Linked DNA regions of Mus musculus. The protein of the gene in region 5 purifies or fractionates together with the protein of the main gene of each other region. This does not show direct contact. Links are inferred from orthologs where the notes say so. Each region holds a gene or a part of one and is shown on either strand. Other genes may lie near its edges.

The links.
Region 1: the proteins of Nup133 (region 5) and Nup85 purify together in Homo sapiens (affinity purification with mass spectrometry; 5 studies listed by BioGRID and IntAct, with this or other methods). This does not show direct contact. The link is inferred for Mus musculus from reciprocal best matches to the Homo sapiens genes NUP133 and NUP85.
Region 2: the proteins of Nup133 (region 5) and Ahctf1 purify together in Homo sapiens (affinity purification with western blotting; 3 studies listed by BioGRID, with this or other methods). This does not show direct contact. The link is inferred for Mus musculus from reciprocal best matches to the Homo sapiens genes NUP133 and AHCTF1.
Region 3: the proteins of Nup133 (region 5) and Nup37 purify together in Homo sapiens (affinity purification with mass spectrometry; 4 studies listed by BioGRID and IntAct, with this or other methods). This does not show direct contact. The link is inferred for Mus musculus from reciprocal best matches to the Homo sapiens genes NUP133 and NUP37.
Region 4: the proteins of Nup133 (region 5) and Nup98 purify together in Homo sapiens (affinity purification with mass spectrometry; 6 studies listed by BioGRID and IntAct, with this or other methods). This does not show direct contact. The link is inferred for Mus musculus from reciprocal best matches to the Homo sapiens genes NUP133 and NUP98.
Region 6: the proteins of Nup133 (region 5) and Sec13 purify together in Homo sapiens (affinity purification with mass spectrometry; 4 studies listed by BioGRID and IntAct, counting the BioPlex papers as one, with this or other methods). This does not show direct contact. The link is inferred for Mus musculus from reciprocal best matches to the Homo sapiens genes NUP133 and SEC13.
Region 7: the proteins of Nup133 (region 5) and Seh1l purify together in Homo sapiens (affinity purification with mass spectrometry; 4 studies listed by BioGRID and IntAct, with this or other methods). This does not show direct contact. The link is inferred for Mus musculus from reciprocal best matches to the Homo sapiens genes NUP133 and SEH1L.

Annotation. Positions count from the first base shown.
Region 1 is NC_000077.6:115,563,171-115,567,243, reverse strand, and holds the start of Nup85 (nuclear pore complex protein Nup85), read right to left. Parts: upstream 2,801-4,073; 5' UTR 2,715-2,800; coding exon 2,682-2,714; exon of another isoform or gene 2,642-2,681; intron 2,091-2,641; coding exon 1,997-2,090; intron 644-1,996; coding exon 481-643; intron 1-480. UniProt on the Homo sapiens protein: Essential component of the nuclear pore complex (NPC) that seems to be required for NPC assembly and maintenance. As part of the NPC Nup107-160 subcomplex plays a role in RNA export and in tethering NUP96/Nup98 and NUP153 to the nucleus.
Region 2 is NC_000067.6:179,752,016-179,755,515, forward strand, and holds part of Ahctf1 (protein ELYS), read right to left. Parts: coding exon 3,434-3,500; intron 2,058-3,433; coding exon 296-2,057; intron 1-295. UniProt on the Homo sapiens protein: Required for the assembly of a functional nuclear pore complex (NPC) on the surface of chromosomes as nuclei form at the end of mitosis. May initiate NPC assembly by binding to chromatin and recruiting the Nup107-160 subcomplex of the NPC.
Region 3 is NC_000076.6:88,145,534-88,149,791, forward strand, and holds the start of Nup37 (nucleoporin Nup37), read left to right. Parts: upstream 1-1,458; 5' UTR 1,459-1,539; exon of another isoform or gene 1,540-1,636; intron 1,637-2,628; 5' UTR 2,629-2,690; coding exon 2,691-2,846; intron 2,847-4,258. UniProt on the Homo sapiens protein: Component of the Nup107-160 subcomplex of the nuclear pore complex (NPC). The Nup107-160 subcomplex is required for the assembly of a functional NPC.
Region 4 is NC_000073.6:102,123,167-102,126,666, reverse strand, and holds part of Nup98 (nuclear pore complex protein Nup98-Nup96 isoform 1 precursor), read left to right. Parts: intron 1-74; coding exon 75-217; intron 218-1,342; coding exon 1,343-1,564; intron 1,565-2,272; coding exon 2,273-2,514; intron 2,515-2,974; coding exon 2,975-3,129; intron 3,130-3,500. UniProt on the Homo sapiens protein: Plays a role in the nuclear pore complex (NPC) assembly and/or maintenance. NUP98 and NUP96 are involved in the bidirectional transport across the NPC. May anchor NUP153 and TPR to the NPC.
Region 5 is NC_000074.6:123,946,466-123,950,589, forward strand, and holds the start of Nup133 (nuclear pore complex protein Nup133), read right to left. Parts: upstream 2,801-4,124; 5' UTR 2,712-2,800; coding exon 2,533-2,711; intron 147-2,532; coding exon 28-146; intron 1-27. UniProt on the Homo sapiens protein: Involved in poly(A)+ RNA transport. Involved in nephrogenesis.
Region 6 is NC_000072.6:113,737,882-113,741,974, forward strand, and holds the start of Sec13 (protein SEC13 homolog), read right to left. Parts: upstream 2,801-4,093; 5' UTR 2,767-2,800; coding exon 2,764-2,766; intron 118-2,763; coding exon 73-117; intron 1-72. UniProt on the Homo sapiens protein: Functions as a component of the nuclear pore complex (NPC) and the COPII coat. At the endoplasmic reticulum, SEC13 is involved in the biogenesis of COPII-coated vesicles.
Region 7 is NC_000084.6:67,784,876-67,788,375, reverse strand, and holds part of Seh1l (nucleoporin SEH1), read right to left. Parts: intron 3,490-3,500; coding exon 3,278-3,489; intron 1,221-3,277; coding exon 1,122-1,220; intron 1-1,121. UniProt on the Homo sapiens protein: Component of the Nup107-160 subcomplex of the nuclear pore complex (NPC). The Nup107-160 subcomplex is required for the assembly of a functional NPC.

The DNA.
Region 1 (4,073 bases), on a different chromosome or scaffold from region 5:
CCTTGTCAAAAACACAAGCTTGAGAAGCAAGTCTTTCTTTTCCATTTGCCTTGTCTGCTGACGCCTGTATTTCTTTCATATTAAGACAGGGTCTCGCTTCTGCAGCTCTGGGCGGCCTGGAACTCACTCTGCTGACTACCAGCTCTTAAAGATCTGTCAGCCTCGTTTTTAACTCTTTCAAGAGTGAGATCTAATTCAAGGGCTTCTCTGTCTGAGTCTTCCTTTCACCATATTTATATTATTTTTATTTTGGTCGGTGGTGGTGTTCAAGGGACACATACAAATGAAGTAGGAATCCAAAAGGAAGAGTTGATACATATATATCAAGCCAGTAAGTCTTCCAACAGCATTTACACAATGCACAACTACACCCTAAGAAGATACACAGGAGAACAGGAACCCCGAGGTGCCCCGGCACTCACAAGGATAAGGACGCCTCCCTCTCACGACTTCACTGCAGCCTCAGCACCCACCACTTACTGAGCTTTCCTGGACTTCCCCGACAGTTCTTCCTCAATTTTTTGCAGGCCAACAAAGATTCCATGGGATTCATTGAAGAGTTTTCTCAAAATTTGAGAGTAAACATCCACATCTTTCCGTATGATGTAGATAAAAGGGCAGCTCGGCACCTTCTCTGATTTGCCTGTAACAAAACAGGAAAAAAAGTAACTCAACATCTACCATTTTCCCCAAAAGAGAAAAACATCCCAGTACTTCTAATTCTCTAATTACAAAGCCCGGCTGAGCCTGGGGCACATGTCCACTTTCTCCACCGGTGGGAATGAGACGGGAGGATTAAAACTCAAGGGAAGACTAGTGCACACAGTCGGCCAAGCAAACCAGGTTTACGCCAAAAGAAAAAAAGATTTGTCTTCATCTGGTCTGTGTAGGCTGAGATTACAATACAAGCAGGCAGCACAACACAGACTTCTTTTTTGGTGATATTGATGATCTAATTAAGGACACTGCCCATGCTAAAGAAGTTATCACTGAGCCACTGAGTGATAGCCTACATCCTTGGTTTTTGAGAATGGGTCTGGCAACATATCCCAGGCAGCTGGGGACTCTCTATTCCCCCCGCCAACTCTTCTGCACAGTAGAAAATCTAAGGTTGCAAGCGAGCGTTGCCTGAACCCAGGACTTTGCCTTCAGCTGAGGCAGTCTAACTCACTTCTTTGGGCTTGTTTTTGTTGGGTTTCTCAAGACAAGATTTCTCTGTGTAGCCCTGGTTGACCTAAAACTCATTCTGTAGATCAGGCAGGCTGTGAACTCACAGAACCACCTGCCTCTCTGTCTCCTGAGTGCTGGGATTAAAAGGTGCGTATCTCCACACCTGGGCTATATGGGTCGTTTCTAAAGGTTAATTATAGGAAGGGGGCTGAAGAGATGGTTTGGCGTCTAAGACAACTGGCTGAAATTTCCTGCCTTTAATCCTAACACTCAGGAAAAAAGAGCAAGTAATTTCTGAGTTCAAAGCCAGCTTGGTCTAAACCAAGTACCAGGACAGCCAGGCTACACGGAGAAACCATCTCAAAAAACCAAAACCAAACAAGAAGTACACAGGCAGCTCTTCCAGAAGACCTAAGTTCAACTCCCAACACCCCATATGGCAACTCACATAAATATAGAGTTCTAGTTCCTAGAATCCAATGATCTCATTTGGCCTCTGCGGCACCAAGCACGGAGTGGTGCACAGTTATGCACGTAGACAAAATGCCCATACACAGACTATAAAATTTAAAAATTACTTAATGTCAAGTGTTGAACCACACACCTCAAGTCCCAGCACTCTGGAAGTCGAGGGAAGAAGATGTAGAATTCAAACCTACACAAAGATTGCACAAAGACAAGCCCACTAGGACTACATAGGGGCAACTTGTCTCAAAATAGCAAAAAAACAAAGTTTCAAAAATAAAAATATTGCCAAATAACTCCAGTTTCCTGCCTCAGAGAGTCAACCAATGTGCCAAGACAGATGTGAAAAAGAACTGCCTACCTGTTTGGTTGAAGGAAGTTTCACACAGAAGCATCTCGCCGGGGCCCCAGTCAAAACACATTTGCTTCTTCTTGGAATTCACACCTGGAATCCACTAGTAAGACATAAGGAGGCACAGGAGCTGTTAGCCCTACAACTGTCCATTCAACTTCCAAGTGTAACTGCGAACACCATACACCAGGCGAACAGCCTAGGTCGTATCCAATGATGCTGTGCACATATTCAGACATATACACACTTAAAAAAACATTTTCTAGGTGCAAGAGGAATAGAATACAACGCGACAGAAACTAGTCTATTGTCTCCCGTGAGAACAAATTATGCATTTATTAAGCCTCGGACTAGGACAGCAGGACAGGGAAAGGCCAACTCATCCCTTGGAGTGACCATGTGGGGCTTACACCAATCTCATTCTAACGCCCAAGGGGGGAAAACTAGAGAAGCAGAAAGGTTATAAAAACAAGGGTGATGCAGTGGGGTTTCCGCGAGCCGGCCAGTATTCACAGGACCTAGGGACCACTATTGCCATAACCTAGTTCCCAGTTAACCTGACATTCGGGATGGTGGCAACTGTGTCCAGGGAAGAAGCGTGCGTCCCGCATGTAGGGAGGCAGCCTGAAATGACCAAAGAAACGTAACCCTCACAGTGCAACAAGCCAAGCCACTCCACTCCGATCGCCCTTACAGTTACTGCGGGCTCGCAGTCGAGCTCCTCCATAGCGCCGTGCCCCCCGCGGCTGGGACCCTGCCGCGCGGCCGCTTCTCTGCGCTCAGGCCTCCCGCTCACAGACAGCTGCCAAAGAGGACCCCCTCCAGGGCGGCTTGCGCAGCGCCTGCAGACCTTAGCGCAACAGATCCCTTCGTCTTAGCCAAACACAGCCCCTTGAAGCCTTTCACACATGTTCCACTATTCTAACCTATACAACACATCATGAAAACGGCTCTAGGGCCCACGGGTCCTCAAGGAATGTTCCCAGTAGATCAGGCGGCGCCACAGACAGTCCCACACTAGGTGAGGGAAAGGTCCCCGGAGATGGCGGGAGAGGCGGTGGCTGGGAGGGTGTGCGCATGCGCAGAAGCGTGCTGGCGCATCTATTTCGATTGGAGAGCTACTCCGTCTCTGTAATCCTACTTTATCTCTTAGCGGTAGTTGTGATCCCTCCCTCCTGGTCTGTTATTAGAATATTCTCAGTCCCTTTTCCGAACTCCGACCAGTATAATGCGCTTATTTTGGAATTAGTCTCGGACACATGACATCCGTAAACAACGGGACTTCAATCTTTTATGTACTGGCAACTTTTCTTTCTTTAGGATTATTCTGAACTATTTCTACCTTAAATTGGTGGTCATACATGACTTGGAAGTAGGGCATAGTAACATAAGCCGGAAGATGCAGCACTTGGGAAGTAGAGACTGAAAAATCGGGAGTTCAGAACCAGCCTTAGCTACATGGCAAGGTTGAGCTCGCATCGGGGCTAACTGAGACCCAGACTCAAAAACCAAACTCCCACAAACTTTAAGGAAATAAAGGAAAACCTTTCTGTCAAATTTTTATCCAAATCCTAATCATCAGTGATTTAGGGAGCTAGAGTGTTGGCTCAGTGGTTAAGAGCATACGCTGTTCTTCCCGGGGAACCTGGATCAATTCAAAGCACTCACATACATGTGGAACAGTCCCAGGCAATCTGATGCCCTCTTCTGGCCTCTGTGGAACCAGGCACACACATGTAGTACACAGACATACACAAAACACCAGTATATATACAATAAAATAAATTTTATAATTAACTTTTTAAAAAAGATTGCATGTATGTGAGTAAACTGTCACTGTCTTCAGACACACCAGAAGAGGTCATCAAATCCCATTACAGATGGTTGGGAGCCACCATGTGGTTGCTGGGAATTGAACTCAGGACCTCTGGAAGAGCAGTCAGTGCTCTTAACTGCTGAGCCATCTCACCAGCCCTTAGTCTGTCTGTCTTTATTTTTTTGTTTGTTTGTTGGTTGGGTTTTTTTTTTTCTGTTTTGTGTGTGTGTGTGTGTGTGTGTGTGTGTGTGTGTGTTTGTTTTTCGATAC
Region 2 (3,500 bases), on a different chromosome or scaffold from region 5:
TAAAGACAGAGAGGAAAGAGAACAAGATAGACCTGTGTCAAATGGACTGTGGGACACAAAGCCATAGAGCATCTGGGTAATCGTCAATTTGAACATCAACCTGGAAACAAACCTTTTTGTCAATTTTATCTGGTGGTTTGGGTTTTTTGGGAGTAGGTGTTCTGTCTTAATCACAATTTTTCTTTAAGGAAATTAACTAAATAATTAACTAAAACAACAACAACAACAACAACAAAACCCTCAAAATTTTAGGCTCTGTATTCTAAGAAAGATAAAAATGAATAAAACTAAATACCTTTTGATTTTTTCTTTGGAACCTTCACTGAAGGAGGAGGAAATAAAGGCTCAGTTTTGGGTTCAGAAATGTCCGTCAACAACATGGTCCTTCTAGACCTAGTCCTTGTGCCCTGGGCAGATGGCGTGAGAGCAGCGGCGGCAAGCAGTCCGTCCCTTCGGTCAGCGGACTCTGTGTGGGCTGCTCCACCCGCCAGGTCTGAGACTGCCGCTGATGGATCTTTTGAGCTTTCCTCTGCAGACTTCTTTGTAGGTCTCCTCTTAGATGTCACCACTAGAGCAGCTTCCTTATTTGGCACTAAAACTGATTTTTCTAAAGTACTCACATTTCTAGCTGGGGTGTTCCGTGTAGATCTCCGGACAACCGGAACATCTTTCTTCTGAGGACTTGTCTGTTCCTTACCAGTTGTGCCACCATCAGCTTCTAAGGGAACTACCTTCCTGGGTCTACCACGTTTCCTAGGGGTGGCAGGTACATCGAGTCCTGTCTGAAGAGGCAACTGGGATGAGTCAAGCTTTGGCTCTTCTGTCACACTTGACACACTAACTTCTCTCTCTCTGACCCTCTTTCGTTTTAGAGGCAGTTGCTGGTCACTGTGTTCATCTTGTTTATACTCCATATTCTGAGTATCTTCTAAATTGGCATTCCTCAGCTCTGTGACAGTCCCGTCATGACTTGCTGCCTCACTCCCTTTGAGATCATCTAGAATTTCTGTACTTTGCCCATTTTCTACAGACTTCTTAAGTCTTCTAGGGGTTCCCTTTCTAACAGATGAAAGCCTGACTTTTGTTCTAGAAGGAGTTTCTTCAGCTGCTGGCTCGGGTGGCTGCGTTCTCAGCCTCAGTCTTCCCGGCGTACCCTGAGGTTCCGGCTCCGGCTCCACAGCACCAGAACTTGGCAGTGTGCCTTGGCTAACGTCCTTCTTCTTTCCTCTCCTAGGAGCGGGAGGACTCTGAGCTGTCAGTTGGTTCTCAGGTGCTACTTTTAGGTCAGAACAGGTCCTTTCAGAAGACTCAGGAGTTTCTTTAATTTTTCTAGTTCTCTTCTTAGGAGTGGCAACTGCTGAAGGCTCTTGTTCTGATGTGACATTCAGGCTTAGGGCATGCTGCCTTCTTGTGAGAGTTCTAGAAGAAACCATGTCATCATTCTGGCTGGTATTTACAGTCTCTGCATGTGGTTCCTTAACAGTCTTCGGTGTAGAGTTTGTCAGCCTGGACGAATGTGCAGCCTTTGAGACTATCACTGCTCCGTCCTCATCACCAGCCTCACCTGCTGCCACGGGAGTTGCTTCCTTACTTCTGGTGTCTTTAATTACATCCAACAGATTTTCTGCAATTGCCACTTTAACCGGTTCAGGCACATACGGTAAAGTCTCTACCTTGTGGGATTCTTGGTCAGCAGTCACAGCAGATGGCAAATCTGTAACGCGCTCCTGATTATGGGGTTCCCTGTGGCACACAGGTTTTTCCTTGGTCGCTTTCGGTAACATATTAGGTGCTGCAGAGTCGCTTGCCTCAGCTTCTCCTTCTTCACCTTCTAAAATCAGGGTAAAGTTGCTCTGGGCCACAAAAAGTTCCCCGTCTACTTCAGCAGCATCACATTCAGCAGAGTCTTTGTCATCAGGCAAGTCACAAAACTGCTGCTCAATAGTACTGAGATTATACTCAAGTTTCTCTGCCCCTAAGGGATACAACTCATCAAATGAAAGATTCTTGGCCTCCTCTTCTGAATTTTGAACTTCAAGATTTTCACATCCAATTAGCTAAAATGAGTTAAAGGTAAAGAAACTAGTTAATGAATTATAAAGTTCATTTTGATCTAAAGCACACAGAATTTTAACGACATCTTACTCTTTGTGTGTCCATTTTAAAATACAAACTACACTTGACTTATGTCATGAAACATCCATTTAAGAAATGAAACCTCAATCAAAATAACTACACATATTATGGATGGAATTAAACTAGAAATCCCACATTTTCTTAGCTAAAAAGACAGCATTAACAAAATCTTGAAAATCATTATGCTAACAATTCTAAGAAAATTAAAGACTTATTCTTTTACCAAGAAAAAAACTTAGAGAAAAGGAAATAACCCCAAACAATAATCCCCAAATTACCTAACTATCCACACTTTCTAAACAGCATGATCCCCGTAAGGTTGAAGAACAATTCACCTACATAAGCTCCCTTGGGCTAGACTCAATCTTCTTCCCTTTGCTGGGGCTGCATAAACCATGAAATTCCTAAGGCTTTCAAGTTCAGTACCTCTCTTGCAAGGGTTTGGTGGAAGAAGGAATGGTCCTTGCATTTACCTTTTGGTAAGGGAAGGGGAGAAAAAGGAGGAGGTAGAGAGTAACAGAGAGATCTCCTGACCAAGAAGGTAGACATTATCACCCACCTAGACAAAGACATTTTCCCACTCCCCAAATAGTGAACTGGCAGACTGGACCCAACCTAGAAGTGAGGAGTCCCATTACCTACTCCCATGGATTTGTTGCCTCCAAACTTTAGAAATAGGAAATTTAGTGCCATTTATTTCAGGGGGAGAATCTTAAAAAGATGAATGTGGATGAATTTATGAATTAATAAACTCCCCAAATTCCATACAATTTGATTTTTATGAGTTAGAAGAGTTATTAAGAGTTATTCCTAACTCCATTTACTCAAATTTCCCTTACTCGTGAAAGGGATTTGATAAGACTGTAGAAAAGCAGAAAGTCCTATGAAGTACTAAAAGAATTCTTTTTCTAGTGTCTCTCTCCCACAGATATGCAGGGAGATCCTGTTTACTATATTCACTTATTACAAATGATGTCTAAATGTCTCAAGCAGTTAATACGTCTCAAGTAGTTAAAAAACAAAACAAAAATCCCTTCCATTTTAAAGCAAATGAGCAACAACAAAACTGCTAATATTAATTAATATTATGTTAATTGTGCCTTAATATAATCTTTTGATTTTACATAAAAACTAATCTCTTAAAGTTTGTGTTATTTTATATGCCACAAAACATTTATACTTATTTTTTGAGATCTTAAAAATGTTGTTGTCAAATGAGCAGATTAAGTTTAAATGAGCAACTTTAAAGCCCAACTATACTAAAATTTAGAAAGCATTAAAAAAGTAATATTTTTACATGAATCTCGTGAGTATCAGAAGGAGCAGCAGAAATTCGAGGGCTTTCTTCTGGTAAACCAACGTTC
Region 3 (4,258 bases), on a different chromosome or scaffold from region 5:
CATACAGAACCCTTTCAAAATAAGCCTAGATGTGTCTGTATTCTAGGCAGCCATGCTATGGAATCAGTCCCCTCTCTACTTCCAGTCTTCTCTGTGTCTCTTTTTACAAGTCTGCTGTGTGTATATGTTCGCCTTTATGTAAGCACATGTGTATGGAGGCCCAAGGTTGACACTGAGTGTCTTCTCCACTGCTCTCCACCTTGTTGACTTGCCCCGGCATCACTTGTCTACACCTCTAGCACACTGGGGTTGCAAGCAGACTACTACACCAGTGTCTCCGTTAGCCCTGGGGATTTGGATTCCAGTCCTCATAGCTGTCCAGGCGCTTTATCCAGTGAGCCACCTCCCCAGGCCTCACTCACAATTCTCTGATGAGCACCTAGGTTATCTCCTATTTATCTCTTAAAAAACAAAATTGAAGAAGACACAAAAGCATGAGCTATGGGTGATATGATTAGTTTGCCTGAAATATTTTTTTTTTCCATCAACCATTTAAACATGTAAAACCATGTTTAGTTCTAGATCTGGCTATTCACCAACAGGCATCTGGGCTGGCATGCCAATATCCACTGTAGTTCCAGCTTTTCCAGGGTTACCTAACTTTAGATCTGGCTGCCCAGGTATAAGAATGGTCACAAAGCAATCAGGACTATGCCGCCCCCTCTGTTCTACCTCCCAGCCTGTTGTGAAGACTCGATGAGACGCTGGATATGAACAAAACAGAAGGTGTCAGAGGGAATAAACTCTTGCTTTTAAACTGGATTCAAAGTGCACTGGAGCAGAAAATCTGAGACAGGTAGTTGTCGCTGGAAGGTAAAGTGAGAGAGCACCACACTTAGCTAACTATCCCTGCCACCACACCCCTGCATTAGCTGTACCTCGTGATTACCACAAATTTCTCCACGTCCATAATTGGGACTACTTAACAGAATTATAAGGCACCAGTGAAGGAAATAGCCAACCTCCTTATTGCCAGCACTTAGCAAATCTCCATTAAAAGATGACAGGTGACAGTTATTCTTCTTGCCTGGTCCGGAATGGCCCTCTGAAGGATGCAACGACAGAAAATCTGAGAAGCCTGCACTCGTCGTGTGCCAGATCCCCGATCTAACGGACTAAAAGAAGATTTTGATGGGTTTCGGTCTTGCCGAAGCCCTAGCGTCTTTTTTTCCACGGGACACCGTGAAGTCGGGGCGAAGCCACTGCGCAGACAACGCCACTGGCTGGCACGTCGCTGTCACCGAGATGCGTTCGCAGAGCAGCAGCCCGAATGCCCACTGGAACTGCGACCCGGGGGCACAGAAGAGACCAGACCCACCTCGTCCAGTGACCCAGGCTGGGTGCAAGCGGAGGGAGGAGCAGCGCAGCCAGGACGCCGGAAGGCAGAGGTTTGAATCGCCTCGGCGTCCCTTTCAAATCTCGCGGCACGACCTGGGAACCAATCGCCGCGCTCGCCCTCCGACCCGGAAGCAGAGCGGGCGCACGCCCTGGCCACCTATGGTCGGGAGAGCCTTGCCCAGGTCGCCTCCCCTGCTTTAGGTGCGTATCGAGTGCGGTGACCGGGGATCGCCAGCTTGTGCTGCTTCCCCAGGGGCGCTTCCCTGTTCTCCAGAGCTCTTCCTTGTGACCTCGCGAGGTGGGAGTGGGTTTTCTCGGGCGACGCGTGGGGGACACAACTCCAGGGACCCTGGGAATATTGACCCAGGGCTTTAAAGACCTGGAGGTCAGGGGTTGCCATCAAATCCGGACCTCAAGTCCCCTGCATGCCTTATACCTCTCTGCTCTATGGTCTTCTCACCTGCCGGTCCCGCGTAACATGTGTCCAGTCTCTCTGAGATGGGACTTAATCTGAAAAAACTCAGCAGATAACTCAGGATTTTACGTGTTCTTTCTTAGCCTAGGGTGCCTCCTTTTCATTAACAACAAAGTAAAAATTAATTTGCACGTGAGAATGCTATTTCTACAGTACACACTACCTGTCTCGAGACAAATTAGTTGAGGATTGTGACAGGTGTTAATAACGTTAGTATCACACATTACTCCAGAGCCTGTATTTTTTAATCTCCTTATTTTATTGCATGGGTAATGGTTGGTTATAACTATTGCTACCTGATATTATCCTTCAAGGCTCTTGGACTCCATGTGTCTTTAGGCAGGGGTGGGACTTTCCAGTTCATCGGACCCTTGATAGTTCAGGTGGTCTGTCAAATTAGAATGTTAAAGGTCATATAATTCGAACAAATAATGTAGCATAGTCCTGAGATAGGCAGGTGTGTGTATTTGTGTTTTCTCTAGCATGTAGGCCCAACACATGCTAAATCTTTTAAATCCTCAACCTGTTGACGAACTTGGCAAATTTCTTCATAGGCAAAGAAGGGACTATTGGTAGTACCGGCGTTTATGGTACTCTTGCATATGACAGTGTCAGTACAACTTTCCAACTACAAATAGTGCTGCATCTCTATTGCTTAATAATCTTAGGACTCTATTTGTATTAAATTTATTCATGTGTGTGTTAATATAAGCAGACTTCTCTTTTGAGCTGGCTCTGACATTGCTATACCAAGCCCCATTATGATTCTTCTGTTGAATGACAAACACTTTGTAAATTTTGTTTGTGATCCACAGTTTCCTGACAGGCAATAAACAACTATTTGATTCTTACAACTGCTCCAGCTTTGGGATACAAGATGAAGCAAGATGCTACAAGAAATGCTGCGTACACCGTGGATTGCGAAGATTATGTGCACGTGGTAGAATTTAATCCCTTTGAGAGTGGAGATTCAGGAAACCTGATTGCATATGGCGGCAGTAATTATGTGGTTGTTGGCATGTGTACGTTTCAGGTTAGTCCACAAACTATACGGAGTGACAGTAGAGATACTTTATCAGTAATGTGTACAAACCAAAGCTGAACTTAAAAGTATGTTGCTTTTAATACAAGAAAAAAAAATTTTTTGAAGATCTACAGGGAATTCCCGTTACTAATTGTTGAGACATGTGTATACATTATATAGATGATAGATGTAAAAACAATGAAGGTCTTCTTTCACCAATGATTCGTAGAGGTGTATTCTGATAAAGTCCAACATAACTGAGCACACATGTATTTCTATGTATTAGATACACTTCAGATTTCCCCACATCATTCTGTCATAGGAAACAAGGTGATACTGAAAGGCTAAACAATTATCTTCCAAGAAATTCCTAGCTTTCATAGATAATGTTCAGCTTTCCTATTAGCTTACTTTCACACCTTGTGTATCTGCAGCAGATATTCATATAACCATATAGGATTACATTTACAGCTGGCGTTCATCATAGCTCTCTCTGAGGTCTGTGTAACCTGAGAACCTAGACACTTAGTTTCGAATGGCTAAACTTGGTTAGATACTGAACCGCTCTTCTCTGAAGGTAAGGAATATGATTGAATCCCTTTAAGAGTGGAGATTCGGGAAACCTAATTTGGTTTGTGAGGGGTAGTGTGTGAGTGCACATAAAGTTCCCAGAATACATTCGGCACATGGTAATCCATATATGTGTATTTTGTGGTTAGTATGAGCAGCAGTGGCAGTTATACCCTCATATTTAATCATCCAAGAGAAATCGCTTCCAAGAGACTTATTACATGGTTCCTCACGGAAAACCTAGGGTCCACATAGGAAGCATTCGGCACTGAAGGCTCAACACCACCCCATCTTCCCAGAGTTTCGTTTCTGCTATTATGGTGTACCAAAATAATATTTACAGGACTATATTTCTATGACCCTTGGCCTAAGTTCTGCTAGACTGTCAGAATCATAAGTCATGCGTCAGGCAAATAATGTGGCCTTGGCTTAAGAAAGACTTATTAAAAACTTTCTCCAATGTGGACCACTTACGTGTTGAAAACGCAAGCGACCAGAGGTAGGCTTGAGCTTCCCTCATTGCTGTGTTAACAGATGTGGACATAGAATCTCATTGTCAAATACTGACAGATATATCTACCTGCAGTTCAAGTTCAGTTAGGAAACACCAGGGGAAATCAATAGGGGAGAAAAATCAGAAAAAGGAAAGATGAAGAAGGCAGACAACAAGGAGAGGCAGGGAAATGAGAAGAATGTTTGTATCATTCAAACGCTTGTCCTTGCTGATCCTCGGGTCTTATTTCCAAACTGTGTAAGGAAAAACAAGAGGCTTTTTCCTTTTATGAGCACATAGAGAAGACAGATCACATTCTGGTGGAGTTCAGTACAACTGTGCCGTTCCTCGTGTTCCA
Region 4 (3,500 bases), on a different chromosome or scaffold from region 5:
TCTTAATGATTGAGCCATGATACTACTAATTGAAAAGAGCTGTTATAATGCTTTTGTAAATTCTTCCTTTTCAGAATACTCCTGAGGGTGATAAATATGCCTGCTCCCCTCTTCCTTCTTACCTGGAGGGCTGCGGCTGTATGGTAGAGGAAGAAAAAGACTCCCGGAGACCACTTCAAGATGTTTGCTTTCATCTTCTAAAACTCTACAGTGACAGGTAAACAAGGCCCAGGGTGGTAATCACTTCAATCAATCCTTGAGATAAATAAGGATGCAGTGGGATAGGAAAATCGCAGCAAACTGTCAACACAGTGCACACGATTCTGTCACAACAGAAACTTCCTAAAGCGATTCAGGGATTAATCCTCAGTCTTAAACTTTTAGGGCAGGATTGTTACTCTAAATTAATATTGTTGTTACAGGAATTTACATAGTTAAGATCATTTGTATTCTTTTGTGCCTGTCGTCTTTTCACTCAGCATGATGGTAAGATTTATCCGTGTTAATGTGAACAGCCAAAGTTGGTCTGGGGTAGATACTTGTTTTGACACTGCAGATTTTTGCATAATTTACATCCTGCTTTGCAGGTGGGTAGATATTGTTGGTTTGGCTGTTAGGGATAAAATTGCTGTGGATATTTACAAAACTCACTGCCTTAAGCCAGGTCTTGGGAGACTGAGGTGAGAATGGTTCACAAAAGCCCAAAAGTTTCAGTCCCCTGGGCAATGTAACAAGAATGCTTATTATTTTACATTTTCACTGGTGATGTATAAAATTTCTAATTGCTAGATGTCCTCTTCAGAATTTGGTATATGTAGAGGTACTCTCTGTATGTTGTATATATTATATATTTTTCTTTACTTTGGTGGTTTGAGATTTTGTGTCTAAATAGACCGGCCTAGAATTCACTCTCCCATGAGTTAGGATTATAATATTGTCCATGAAATAAGCTCTTACTAAGAAAGAGAATGGGCTGCTTAGTAGCTCTTTTTATTTTTTTGTTTTTTCGAGACAGGGTTTCTCTGTGTAGCCCTGGCTGTCCTGGAACTCACTTTGTAGACCAGGCTGGCCTCGAACTCAGAAATTTGCCTGTCTCTGCCTCCCAAGTGCTGGGATTAAAGGCGTGCGCCTCCACCGCCCGTCTTGTAGCTCATATTTTTAATCCCAGCCTTCAGGAGGCAGGTGGAAGTGGATCTGTGAGTTTACGGCCACTCTCGTCTATAGATCAAATTCCAGGATAGCCAGGGCTTTGTTATTACAGAGAAACCCTGTCTCAAATAACCTGTTCAGTACAGGTGACCTGCCTGCCGAGTATCCTGACTGAGTACTTTGTTCTCCTCAGACATTATGAGCTCAATCAGCTATTAGAACCTCGAAGCATAACTGCAGATCCTTTGGACTACCGCCTGAGCTGGCACCTTTGGGAAGTGCTACGTGCTCTTAACTATACCCATCTCTCAGAACAGTGTGAAGGTGTGCTACAGGCCAGTTATGCTGGCCAACTGGAAAGTGAAGGACTCTGGGAGTGGGCCATCTTTGTCTTCCTACACATTGACAACTCGGGGTGAGTGAAAGTCATTGAACCCGCTGGGAATATCCAGCACCTCAGGGCAGTACCTAAGGATTGCTGTTCAGGTCCAGTTCAGTAAGTGATTGCTTACAGTGCTTCTCAATTTGTGGATCTTAATCCCTTTGGGAGTCAAAGGACCCTTTCACAGGGTCACCTAAGACTATCTGAAAACACAGAGACTTACATTATGGTTCATAACAGTAGAAAAATTATGAAGCAGCAACAAAAATAATTTTATGCTTAGGGGGTCATAACAACATGTGTTGCAGCGTTAGGAGGGTTGAGAACCACTGGCTTAGAACATCTGTTAGATACAGCCATGTGATAAATCTCAAAGGGCCTGGAGAGATGGCTCATCAGTTAAGAGCACTTGGCTTCTTTTCCATGGGATCTGAGTTCAGTTCTCAGCACCTGTGTTGGGTTACCCACAACTGCCTGTGGTGACTCCAACTCTGAAGATCCAACACCTGTGACCTCCAAAGGGACCTATAGTCATGTGCACATACGTACCAACACACACATTTACACATAATTAGAAACAATAATATTTGAGATTAGACTTTGTGGTTTGTTTTGTTTGAAGTGGTCCTCTAAAGATAAGATTGCCCCTTTGAGTAACTGCCCAGGGGACCATCTTACTGTCCACCATAGCCTTCTCCAGACCAGGAATGATGCTTATGCTAGTCTCTGTCTTCCCCACAGCATGCGTGAGAAGGCTGTTCGAGAGCTGCTGACAAGGCACTGCCAACTGTCAGAGACCCCTGAGTCTTGGGCTAAGGAGGCGTTCCTCACACAGAAGCTTTGTGTGCCTGCTGAGTGGATTCATGAGGCCAAAGCAGTTCGAGCACACATGGAATCCAATAAGCACTTGGAGGCCCTCTATTTATTTAAAGCTGGTCACTGGAACCGCTGCCACAAACTAGTCATTCGTCACCTAGCTTCTGGTGAGTGCAAACCACCAGGTAATGCTGCTATGCGGCCGAGTTACACCTGTGAACCTGTGAACCTTCGTGGTAGTTCAAGCAGAGATAGCATTCAGTTCAGGACACAGCAGGCTTAGTCTGATTTTCTATGAAGAGATGAAGACTGCGAAGAGACTTGTTCTAAGCAAGGGTCTGTGAGGTGGGGAAAGATAGCACTGTTGTAGTTAACACAAATGTTCTTATTGTTCACTAAGCTCTGCTCACTTGTAGAAATGTTAACCAAGAACACCAGAAATAGTTGCTCAGCAGCCAGAAGCCAGGAGTTCCTCACCTGTGCCTTTTCGACTTTGACAACATCTGCCTTGAAATTTTGAGAAACAACATTCTTTGTCCTTCCTGCCCGCCTTAGATTTTTGTCTGTTCTTCTACACTGTTGTGAATCACACCTTTGTACACTGAAGTCAATGTTTTATTTCTTCAGATGCCATTATTAATGAGAACTATGACTACCTGAAAGGATTCTTAGAAGATCTGGCACCTCCAGAGCGCAGCAGCCTCATCCAGGACTGGGAAACATCTGGGCTCGTTTACCTGGATTATATTCGAGTGATTGAAATGCTCCACCGTATTCAGCAGGTACCTACAACTCCCTAAGCCACTGTCTAGCTTTTCTTTTCATTGGCACTTAGAGCAGCGACTTCAAAGGACCATACTTTAACCGCAGTGCTTGAGAGGCAGAGGCAAGCATATATATCTGTGAGTTCCAGGACAGCCTGACTATGTTCAAAACTAAAGAAAGAAATCATGGTGGCACACATATAATCCTAGCACTGGGGAAACGAGGCAGAAGGATCAGGAATTTGAGGCCAGCTTGAGCTGTGTTAAATGCATTGAGCATGGAACTTTGGAGTTTTTTATTTGTGCCTTACCCTATAACCTAAGCCAGCCAGAACTCACTGTATATAGCCCAGGTTGGCCCTTTTTAGTATGCTTATTGGGAGTGGCGG
Region 5 (4,124 bases):
GGGAACAAATGAAAAGATGACACCTACCCTCAGCCATTGTCAGGGCTTCCATGATCTTAACAGGGAGAGATGATCCAAACACTCTCACATCGTAGTTCACAGACTCTGATATGGAATGGTGGGGGAATATCCGAGTAGGCGTTCCTCTAAAGAAAGAGACCACATAGGATTAACTATAACTTGAAATTTCCCATTATGCTCACCTTTACAAACCTACTTGAGCTATCTCTAATGATGTGTAATGGTGAAAGACACCAGCTGGTGTGCACTATGTAACTGACTGCACTTTTCAATAGAATTTATTGAAATTGCTATGATATAAGACCATGAGCAAAAGCAACTTGAGGAGGAAAGAGTTTATTTGATCTTATATTTCCAGGTCACTGCCCATCACCAAGGGAGTCATGGCGGGAAACTGGAGGCGGGAACTGAAGCAGGGGCCATGGATAAATGGTCTTTACTGGCTTGCTCAGTTTACTTTCTTATACACTCCAGGGCCACTTGCCAATGGGTGGCACTGCCCAGTGAGTCAGGCCCTTTTACATCAATCACCAATCATGAAAATCACCCCTGAAGGCAAGCCTATGGGGGCATTTTCTTTTCTTTAAAGATTTATTTATTTTATATATATGAGTAAGCTGTTGCTGATACAACGTGGATGATGGGAATTGAACTCAGGACCTCTGAAAGAGCAGTCAGTGCTCTTAACCACTGTGTCATCTCAGGAGTGGGGGTGGGGGTTTCTTAATTGGGCTCCCCCCTACTCAGATGATTCTAGTTTGTGTTCACAAAAAACTAACCACCATGCCTGAGTCATCTGAGTTCAGAAATTAGAAGTGAGTACACCTCTGCCTCTGAGGTCAGTACTGTGAAGGGTTCTTCTTAAACAATAAAGTGAAAGCCAGGCACAGAGAGGAGGCAGATCTCTGTGATATCTGCCTGAGGTTAGCCTGGTCTACACAGTAAGTTCCAGAACCCTGTCTCAAAAAACAAGCAAACAAAAACAAGGGTCCCACGTGTGCTCTCAGCATCACAGTTACTCTCTGAATTATCACAAGACTTGTAGGTTCATACATTTTAATCATAAGTCTCTGTTAGACTCAGTATTTCCTGTTTTCATGCAGAAAAAAATTCACTTAAGATACACACACACACACACACACACACACAAACATACACACAAACATACACACACACACACACACACACACACACACACACATCACTGTGTGTCTCTGGTTGCTTTGGAACTATATAGCCAAGACTAGCTCTGATCCAGGGTCCTCCTACCTTAGCTTTCCATGTGCTAGGATTTTAAGTTGTGTACTACCATGTCCAGCAATACCTTTTAAAATAATTTTAAGGCAATAGTTGTCAGGTACTTTTGAGATTAATTTACTGGTTTTTTTGTTTGTTTTGAGCAAAAATGATGTATCAGAACATATATGCATCTTACTATCTTTTTAACCCATCATATATACATATATGTGTGTGTGTGTATATATGTGTATATATATATATATGATTGTATGATAGATAGATAGATATCGAAAAGCAAGTGCTCTTATCCCCAGAGCCATCTTTCCATCCCAGAAATTCACTTTTGAAAGATGAACAGAAGAAATTCTTCTAGAAAAAGGTAACCCAATTCTGAATTTTCGTGTTAATTACATTGAGGAGGGTAACAATTCTACTATACATGTGGACTTGGCAGCACACCAGCATCTTTAGTGAAGCACGCTCTCTCTCTCTCTCTCTCACACACACACACACACACACACACACACACAAAGTGCTTTTATGTAACCTAGTCACAACCATCACATTTTGTGGCCCAAGTCCTTTAACTGCCAATCAGTATGTAGTAATAAGCATTTGCTAGGCACTGAGAAAACATTTTTGCCAGGTTTGTAGGCTCTTACCATGACTCAGATAGGTGTACTGAATCCTGAGATGCTGAGATCCTGACTTAAAGCTGGAAGTGTTAAACAAAATGATGGTAGCCAGACAAGCTACTGCATGCTTGAAATAGAAGAATCTTAAAAGTGGATTGAGCAAAGTCAGCCTAGGGTACGTAGCATGGGCTGTCCCAAAGTGGACAGGACTGAGTTCCAGGCTGCATTCCTACACTATATCACAAAAAGACTACACCAGACCAAATGTTACTCGTGTCAAACGCCACAGAGTCAAACCACAACTTTAAACAAACAGCAGCCCGACACTGACCTGTGTCAACATAATAAAGAAATGACTTTTTAATCTTTACAATAATCTGAAGTATGTTCCTACCTTGCAAGCGTAGTGCTCAAAAGGTTCTTTCATTCTTTTCTGTAGCGCGGAGACAGAGTGAATCCATGGGTCCAATAAAGAGTTAAACAGAGAACGGGCAAAACGAGGGCCACCATTAAGCAGCGACAATAAAACGCGAGAATGACCAGAAGTACTTTCGAACTCTGCGGCAGCTTACCCCACTGCCAGGCTCCACCTCCCCGCTGTGGAGCGGACCCCGCTGGTCCCCGAACCCCCACTTACCGTGAGCTCACCGAGCTGCGCCGGCCTGCGGGCGAGAACAGCACGGGCGAGTTAACCGCAGATCCCAGAGACAGACCCCTCCTGCTCGCTCTAGGCGTGGACGTGGGCCCGATCCCGACTAGCGGACCGCGTCGGGTCCCCGGCCCTGGGGTTCGCGGAGAGGAGACGCTCGGAAACATGTTTGCAGAGAGCGTGGAGGAAGCGGCACTCGCGGGCTAATAGCGAGAACCTCGCGCGCCCGGAGCTTGAACACCTGAGGGGCGGGAAGGCGCCTAGAGATGACGTAAGGGGGCGCTCAGCGAGTAGGGAGGGGAAGGCGCATGGCAATGACGTCAAAGATCGGCGCCGAGACTCGGGGCAAGGTCGGAACTGGGAGCGCTTTGTTGACGTCACATCCAGTACCGGGGAGGGGCGGGGCAGGCGATTTGGAGTCCTGCGACCCGATTCACCGCGGTGGATCCAGTGCTCCGGACCGAGAGCTTGCCAGAAGCGCCGGTCTCCGGCTGGAGCTGACCCTCCGCGGCGAGCGTGGGCTGGGGAAGGAGGCGCCCGTGGGCGGAGCTGAGGAAGTCGCGCTCTGGGCGGCGGTGGTGTGCTCACAGTTTTTCCCAACCTAATTCAGATCGGTTCAGGCTTGTTCTTCGTTCGATTGTCTGGGCTCTGCAGCGGGTTGCAGCTTTTTGCTTTCCAGGCACAGCTTGCATTTTGATGGGTCTGTCCTACTGCCGGAGATTCGGAAATGACAGTGCCCCCAGTCCCCGGGCATGTTCACTCTCATCGCTGCCCCTGAAGTTCCAGACCCTAGTAGAAGCCGATAGCAGGCGTGCACACAGTTCTGTTAGTCCTCTGCGGCTGTTTCGGAAGACCGTAGTGTGTGTATGGGGGTGTCTTTTCCATTCTGCTCCCCACATTACTAAACAGTGAACTGAGATTAGCCCGAGGCTGTACTAGAGTTTGTAAATATTCAGGGCTGATAACTGCCCAGGGACCCTTGCTGAACTTGTGAGGTCCCTTGTTACTTCGGGTGGCCTTTCCTTTTCGGTTTTTTCATTGTGTCCCACTTAGACAACATTGTAGCCAGACTTTTGACCACTTTATGGGTTCCTATTTCTACCACTTGTCTCCCTCTCAACCCCCCAACACTAGGTAGGAGAAAGAAGGCTAGAGGAAAAGGGGGCTTCGATATCCGTAGACTACTTCCTGCTGATAGAGGCATCGAGTTCCTTGGGGCAGTTTTGATCTTTTAAGAGCTCAGAAAGCCAGAAGGAGGGCATTGGACTCTGAAGTTAGTTACAGGGGGGTTGTGCGCCACCTAGCATGGGTGCTGGGAATTGAACTCGGAAAAAAAAAGAAAAGCATTTAGAAGTAGCTACTTGAGCCAGGTGTGGCTGCACACACCTATAATCTCTGTAGGACCAGAAGTTGTTCAAAGCCACCCTGGGCTACATGAGACACTGTCTCAAATGCCAACAAACAAACCCAATTACCTGAGAGACCATTATGGACACAAGGTTGTTAGGCATATCAGAAGTAAATACAGTGGGAGGGGGTAGGGGGAGAGAGAACATGGAAGGGAGGAGTCATCTCTGCCC
Region 6 (4,093 bases), on a different chromosome or scaffold from region 5:
ACTAATATACAGTAAACGCCTACTGAGGCTGCCCATGTCCAGGCCCAGGAGAAGGGCTGCGTGGATACTTACAATCATGTCCTCATGAGAGGTGTCCACAGTGTTCATTACTGACACCTAGAACCAAAGACATTCTGTGAATTCATCGACAGCAGCCACCAGTCATCTCATTAAAGCACCAATTGCTTCTAAAGTTCTTACGGGCATTCACTCATTCATTCACTAGCACGCTCATTCTATAAACGCTTTCTTTTTATTTTTCGTGTGACTGGCTCTCATCATGTAGTTCAGTCTTGCGTTGAACTCAGTATCCTCCTGCTTCAGCCTCCCAAATGCCAGGATTACATATGTGCATTTTTACTTCCGGCTGAGGATCTTCTTGGCATTAAGCCCCGTGTAAAGGACTGCACAGTGTGGAGCCGCAGCTCTTGCCTCAGAGGAGCTCGCGTGTGAACAACCTACCAGTAGCCACATCAGCCATACTGCGGTTTGTGTGGGCAGAAAGAGCCCAGGATGAAGGGGATACACAGCTGCCTTAAGGGATGAAAACCTTGTTGCTCAGAGAGAAGATATGATCCAAGCACGAAAGGTTAGCATGGGCAAAGACAGTCAGTGGGACCAAGCTGGGACAGAGTTCACGCTCCCTTTCTGCATCGCAAGCGATTCTGATGGCCCAGACAGTTTATGTGAAACAAGTTATATAAGTCAAGACAAGGATTTGGCTTTAGTTACCTCTGAGGTTACTCTCTGGCCTACTATGAACCGTGAAAGGCCCATCTAGTTTTTCACCTTGTGGGACCCAGGTCTGATAGTCTGTAGAGGCCAAAAACAGTTGTGATGGACACCAGCGATTTCTCCATTTGATTTAAATCAGCCTCCCTTGATCCCCAACTAGCTAAACTCTTACATACACAACAGCCATGACAGCTATAGAGCTTGATGCTACTTCTCTGCTAGAGAAGGTAAGCTCCTTGAAACTATCTGTAGCTTTGATGCATTCGCTGTCTGTCTTAGTAAATAGGTCTAGCTGCCTAGAACTCACTGCATAGACCAGGCTGCCTCCAGCCCTGGGATTTATCTGCTTCTGCCTTGAGTGCTCGGACTAAAGGTAGGCACCATCACACACCTCAGCTTTGAATCTCTTTAAGTTATTTAGCACAATGTTTTTTACAGATAGAAAGAACTTAGTAACTACCTACTGAGTTAATAAAAGAGCAAAGACACACATCTTTTTTTTTTTCTTCTCTCATCCACTATTAAATTCTTGGGAGAGAAAAGTGGATTGAAAAGGTAGCTTCCATTTGAGACTGACATTTCTCACCATTTCCAACAAGTCACCTTTCCCAGTGCAAACTTTGCAATTACAAAGCCTGACTCCTCAAGGCAGGTGTGGTGTTGCAGATCCTTAACACTCTGGAGGATCAAGAGGGTGGATCAAGAATTCTCCAACAGCCTGGGCTATTTTTTCAGAAAGGTAGACCCTGGGAGAGTACGGCGGCAAGGCATTCAGAAGGCACACACTGAATAAGTAAGTGTGTTTCCTTGAGAATCTTAAATGCTCTGAAAAGTGTCGGCAAAGATTAGAGAAAGAGGAGCAGCACCTGCCTGGAGACAATGACATTTTCCCGTGAGCATTGGAGAGGCACCAGGAGCAATCAATTATAGTCAACAGAAAAACTAATCAATTTAAGGTGGCAGTGAAGAAAACACCCTTACCAAAACCACACTGCTGGCAACAATCTTATCTACTAATCCTCTAACCCCCTCCCCCAACACACACCAATATAAGGTGGGTGATGTGACCAAGAATTCCCCACAATCCCAACTGGCTCAAGGAAAAGTAATTTTCTATTGGTGACCCACAGGACTTTGGAAAGCTGGCATCCTTATGACCATTCTTAACCAGCAGCCATGGGTTATGATCCACACTTTGGGATGCTATGTATTTTAAAGCTCTTGGAGCAGTCCTCCGGAGCATCTTATAAGGACACTTATGCGCTTGCTGGAACACAGTAAGAAGCTGCACTCAAAACAGTTCAGCTCATCAGAATCACACCAGGTACAAACTTAGAATGAACCTGTGTATGAGTCTCCAACTTGGCAACAAAAGAGCCAAAGGCCAACAGAAGGAGGCAGCTCCTTGCACCGCTGCGCCAACCAGGGTCTAAGACTTCCAGAGTTTCATTCCCTTAGTATTATACGGAGTGGGGTGCGGTGAAAGACATACCACAGAGGCCATGTAAATTCAAAAATAAGAAACAGAAATAAAAAGCTGAGACGATGCCCTGGAGTCACTCAGCTAGGCCTGTCATCAGTTTCCCGAAGGGACCATCACACATGGGAGTCCTGTGTCCAAGCAACTGATCCCTCCACCTCCTTTGCTGAGGTAGTGGGTGGCAGGGCGAATGATGAGGAGAATTTGGATCTTAGCTTGCCACTGCCTAGCCCAAGTGTTGATGATAGTAGCATCTGCTCCGCAGGCTACGCGCAGGCAGAGGATGTGAGCGATCGTGGGAACGCACTAAGGGCTTGTCAGGCAGTAGATCCTATGATAGCTTTGGCTGTTTTTCCAATTCTGGAGGACAAGACACGAGACGGGCAGGAGGTGGGCTCGCAGCCCGGGCCTATGAGTTCCGGAAGGCCCAGTGGCCTTGCCTTAAATTCCCGCTCCGAGACCCAGAGAGAGGCAGGACAAGCAAACTTTGAGGACGTAGAGGTGGTCTGTCTCAAAGCCACGACTATCGCAGGGATCGCGACACTTACCATAGCTGCAGCAGCGGCGACCCACGGCCTCGGACGTGGCAGCTCAAAACGCTTCACTTCCGGTGCCGGCCCGCAGCCGGCAGGCTGTCACCCAGGATCTTCCGGTCAGCAACACACTCGACTCACACAAAGGTTCCGCGTCTTCTGGATCCTCGGCCCCGCCCTCCTGCAGTTCTGCCTTTATCTTGGCTACTGTTGGGCTCTGGTTGCTGTGGCGACCCTAATCCAGGGATTTTATGATTTGAAGCCGTCGCTAGCAGGTTTTTTATTTAGACTAAGTTTTTTCTGGTTCCTGAGATGCATACATAAAATGACTAGTCATTATAGCTTCACTCTCCTTTTCTGCGGGTTCCGGGTCCCACTGGCTTATCATGACCATCGTAGAGGTTAATTTCTCAAGTAGACTGGGCTAGTGCTTTGTTAGGTCTTGCTTAAGTTTCTTTCCATTTAATTTGATGTTGACTATTGGCTTGCTGTATATTGCCTTATTATGTTTAGGTATGGTCCTTGTATCCATAATCCCTTTAAGACTTTTAACATGAAGGGGTATTGGATATTGTTAAGGGCTTTTTCATCATCTAATGAGATGATCATGTGGGCTTTTTTCAGTTTGTTTATATGGTAAATTACGTTGATGGATAAAGCAATTCCACTAAATTCAGGGACAAGACAAGGCTGACCACTCTCTCACTATCTATTCAACATAGTACTTGAAGTTCTACCTAGAACAAAAAGACAATTAAATGAGATCAAGGGGATACAAATTGAAACGGAAGAAGTCAAAGCTTCATTGTTAGTTGATATGATAGTATACAAAAATGCACCAGCTTTCTTAAGGGATGGCAAGCAGAGAGTCTCAAGTCCCTGGGAGTCTGACTGTTTCAAGGGAGAACAACTGGAACCTCCCCAAACTCTTGTTTTTAGCTTTGGTGCTTACACAGCACTGAAAGGGGAACACAGAGCCCCAGGGCAGCTCCTCAGATGCACGTGGTCACATTTCCCCACCACACTTAGAAGCCAAGTGGCCCAGAGTAGAACCTCCACTCCCATTAGCTAAATCCTTTGCTGGGCAGTGGTGGCGCATGCCTTTAATCCCAGCACTTGGGAGGCAGAAGCAGGCAGATTTCTGAATTGAAGGCCAGCCTGGTCTACAGAGTGAGTTCCAGGACAGCCAGGGCTCTACAGAGAAACCCTGTCTTGAAAAAAAAAATCTTTCTGGTCGTATGTTGAAACTGGGATTGAATACCTTGGCTGAAGATAGCTACCAGCAAGATGCCAAGACTCAAGGAGTGTGAAGGCTTTTTGGAGAGGGGCCTGGAGAGTGGCAGCC
Region 7 (3,500 bases), on a different chromosome or scaffold from region 5:
GGCAGAGAGGCAGGAAAACCTTCTATGAGCTCCAGGCCCACCAGAACTATGTACATTTCAAAATAAATGAATAACTAATTTTTTCTTTTAAATGTCAGAAACGTGAAAAAGTTCATCAACATATCTCAATGTTTCTCAGAAAATGCTTGCCTTTTGGGGGCACTCAATAGTGGCCCCCAAATGACTTAACTCATAGGCCCAAACTGGAATAACCTTATTCCAAAAAAAAAAAAAGTTTTTTATTTATCTATTCCTTATTCATTATCACTAGAGTAGGACTGACTCTAAAATTCAATGCCCTTAGATAAGACAAAACAGGATAAACAGGGCAGTGGTAGCCCACGCCTTTAATCCCAGCATTAGGGTAGCAGAGGTAAGTGGATCTCCAAGTTTGAGGCTAGCGTAGTCTCCCGAGTAAGTTCCAGGACAGTCAGGGCTACACAAAGTAAATGTTTCTAAGAAAAAACAGAGTGAAAAAATACAAAGCAGGGGAGATGCCTAGAATGGCTGCCACAGCCCAGGATTCTGGGCTCAATCGCTGGAAGAGCCAGCAAAGAGCACAGCCAAGAAAGAGCACAGCCAGGCCAACAACTGGATTTCAGAGCTCTGGCCTCCATGGACAGATCACTAATAGGTAAAGAAAAAAATTCTGTCGGATTGGCCCAAGAACCAAAATAAGGCCCAGTCTGCTCCTTTACAATTTAAGTGTATCTTAAAATACTTAATCAAAACTTATCTAAAATAAAGTCTCGGTTTGGACTGGAAAAAAGGTTCATCCGTTAAGAGCACTGACTGCTCCTCCAGAGGTCCTGAGTTCAATTCCCAACAACTACATGGTGGCTCACAACCACCCATAATGAGATCTGATGCCCTCTTCTGGTGTGTCTAAAGACAGCTACAGTGTACTCATATATACATAAAATAAGTAAATAATCTTTAAAAAAAAGATTTTATTTATGTAGAAACCCTGTCTTGGAAAAAAAACCACCAAGTATAAATAGCACAGAACTTGGAATCTCTCAGGAAACAGTGAATCAGGTAACAGTGAATCCCGTACAACGCAGACAATAAAGGACAGCCGTTTAAGACGTAAACACAATTTGGAACAAAGCAGTACTGACCTGGTATTTTCATTGTATTCAAAAATCTGAACCTTGGCCATTGAATTTGGACTGCTATCATCACTTCCCACAGCGATCATGGGGGGATGAGCACGAGAGCTAGGAAGGAAGGCAAACACTTATGTAATACAATAAGCTGCTGGCTTAACAGGATTCAGACCTGGACTCCAGGAGACAGACAACCTACAAGTGCCTGGCCTCCCCATCACATCTGGATGTTCACCACAGCCCTGCCGCACTACATGTTTGTGTGAGCACCTCACACACTGTCCCTCACGACTGCTTCTCAAGAAGCGCTTCTTCTAAACAAGGGCATTCCAACAGTTAACACTGGGAAAAAACTAAACTAGAGCTTTGTTACTAAAGCATCACATAATTAGATCCACTAATCTAAACAGAAAACTTGATAAGCTACAAAGAACTATGGTGAGAGAGTATATCTATAATAAATATTCACATAACCTGGCTGCTAAGGTTCAGAGTCAACTAGAGCTCACAGACAAAATATCTATACCCATGTTAATATTTATAGAACCCAAACATTATAAATATTCATCATGTATTTATAACAATGTAACAGAATTGAATAGAAAGAAGTCTCAGCATGAAACAGGGGCAAAATAAGCTCATTCATTCTCTACATCTCTCGCCTCTTCCAGGTTATCAAGACAGAATTTCTCTGTGTAGCCCTGGCTGTCCTGGAACTCACACTGTAGACCAGGCTGGCCTCAAACTCAGAAATCCACCTGCCTCTGCCTCTCTGCCTCTGCCCCTCTACTTCTGCCTCTGCCACCGGAGTGCTGGGATTAGATGCTTGCACCACCATCACTTGGCTAATTTTCTCCTTTGTAAGAGAGGAATCATTGAGACTATATAGATGGCAACCAGGTTAAGAGCACTGGCTGCTCTTCCAGAAGACCTGGGTTTGACTCCCAGCACCACATACATGGTGGCTCTCGGTGGTCTACTACTCCAGTTCCAGAGAGTCTAAAGCCCTCTCTGGCTTCCACAGACACTGCGTGATGGCAGTGTAAAGACATAAACAGGAGAAATACCGATATACATAAAATAAAAATTCTTTACGTTTTTAAAAATTTAAAAGAGGAATCATATAATCTAAGAACTAATCACTAAGTACAGATAAATTTAAAACTTCAGTTACCAGCATAACAACTAAAGATTACCACAAATAACATATATACCAGTCATATTCCGCTATCAGTGCATATAAACAGTTAAAATCTAAGAGAGCAAGAATAATCATCTAGTATGTAACAGTGGCTACCAGAATTAAAAGCTAGACTATAAGCTACTGACAGCATTTCCTTTCAGAAAAGAGAACTTTCGGGTTTGATTTCTACTCTTCTAGTTATTTGCATATTTTCTTACCAAGTAATTAAAATAAATAATAAATAAAAAGCAATCATGGACTGGGCGGTGGTGGAGCATGCCTTTAACCCCAGCACTCGGGAGGCAGAGGCAGAGGCAGGCGGATTTCTAAGTTTCGAGGCCAGCCTGGTCTACAGAGTTAGTTCCAGGACAGCCAGGGCTACACAGAGAAACCCTGTCTTGAACAACCAAAAAAAAAAAAAAAAAATTGATAAACAGGAATAACGAAGGGACAGACATGATGACCAACACTCAAGAGGGTGAAGCAGGAAAGTTCAACACCAGAGCTGGCTGGTTACACAGCAAGTTCTATACCAGCATAGTCAATAAGATAAGGATCTTTCCAATCAGTACATTAATTAATTGATTAAGGGATTCACTAATTGGATGCTTTAAAATAAATTATATACTAAAATGTGAAGAAATGATCACAAAGTATTTTTCTGTGAGAAAAAGATCCTTGAGGAAAATGGCTGAGTTCTATGCATGACTGAGTATAGTCTGTCTTCTTGGGTTGGTATGTATCTGGTTATTTGCACAGAGCTGTCTCCGAAAAATATCCTAACTTATTTTTATATACATAGAAAATTTGTCAGAAGTTCTCACCAAACGGTTGATAATGAATGGGTTCCTCCATTTTATGGAGCTAGGAAAGTGGAAACTGTCTTCTGGATAATATTATCTAATTACAAAAAGCATCTGAGAAATTCAAGCAGTAAATTCTTAGCTTGCAACCTGCCCTGGCCACTTTAGAAGGCCGCGCTTACCTGGAAGGGTTCCAGGAAATGCAGCTGCAGCACAGCTTACACGAGACCTCGTGCTGCAGAGACCACTGGCTGAGGTTCATCACATCGGGAGCCTCGTAGACCCTTACTATACCATCTGCTGAACAGGTGGCCAACATCAGACCCATATGTTTGGGAGCAAATTTCACATCAGTAACAGAGGTTCTGCTGTCCACTAGAGTTGTCCTCTTCACCTGGAAAGAAA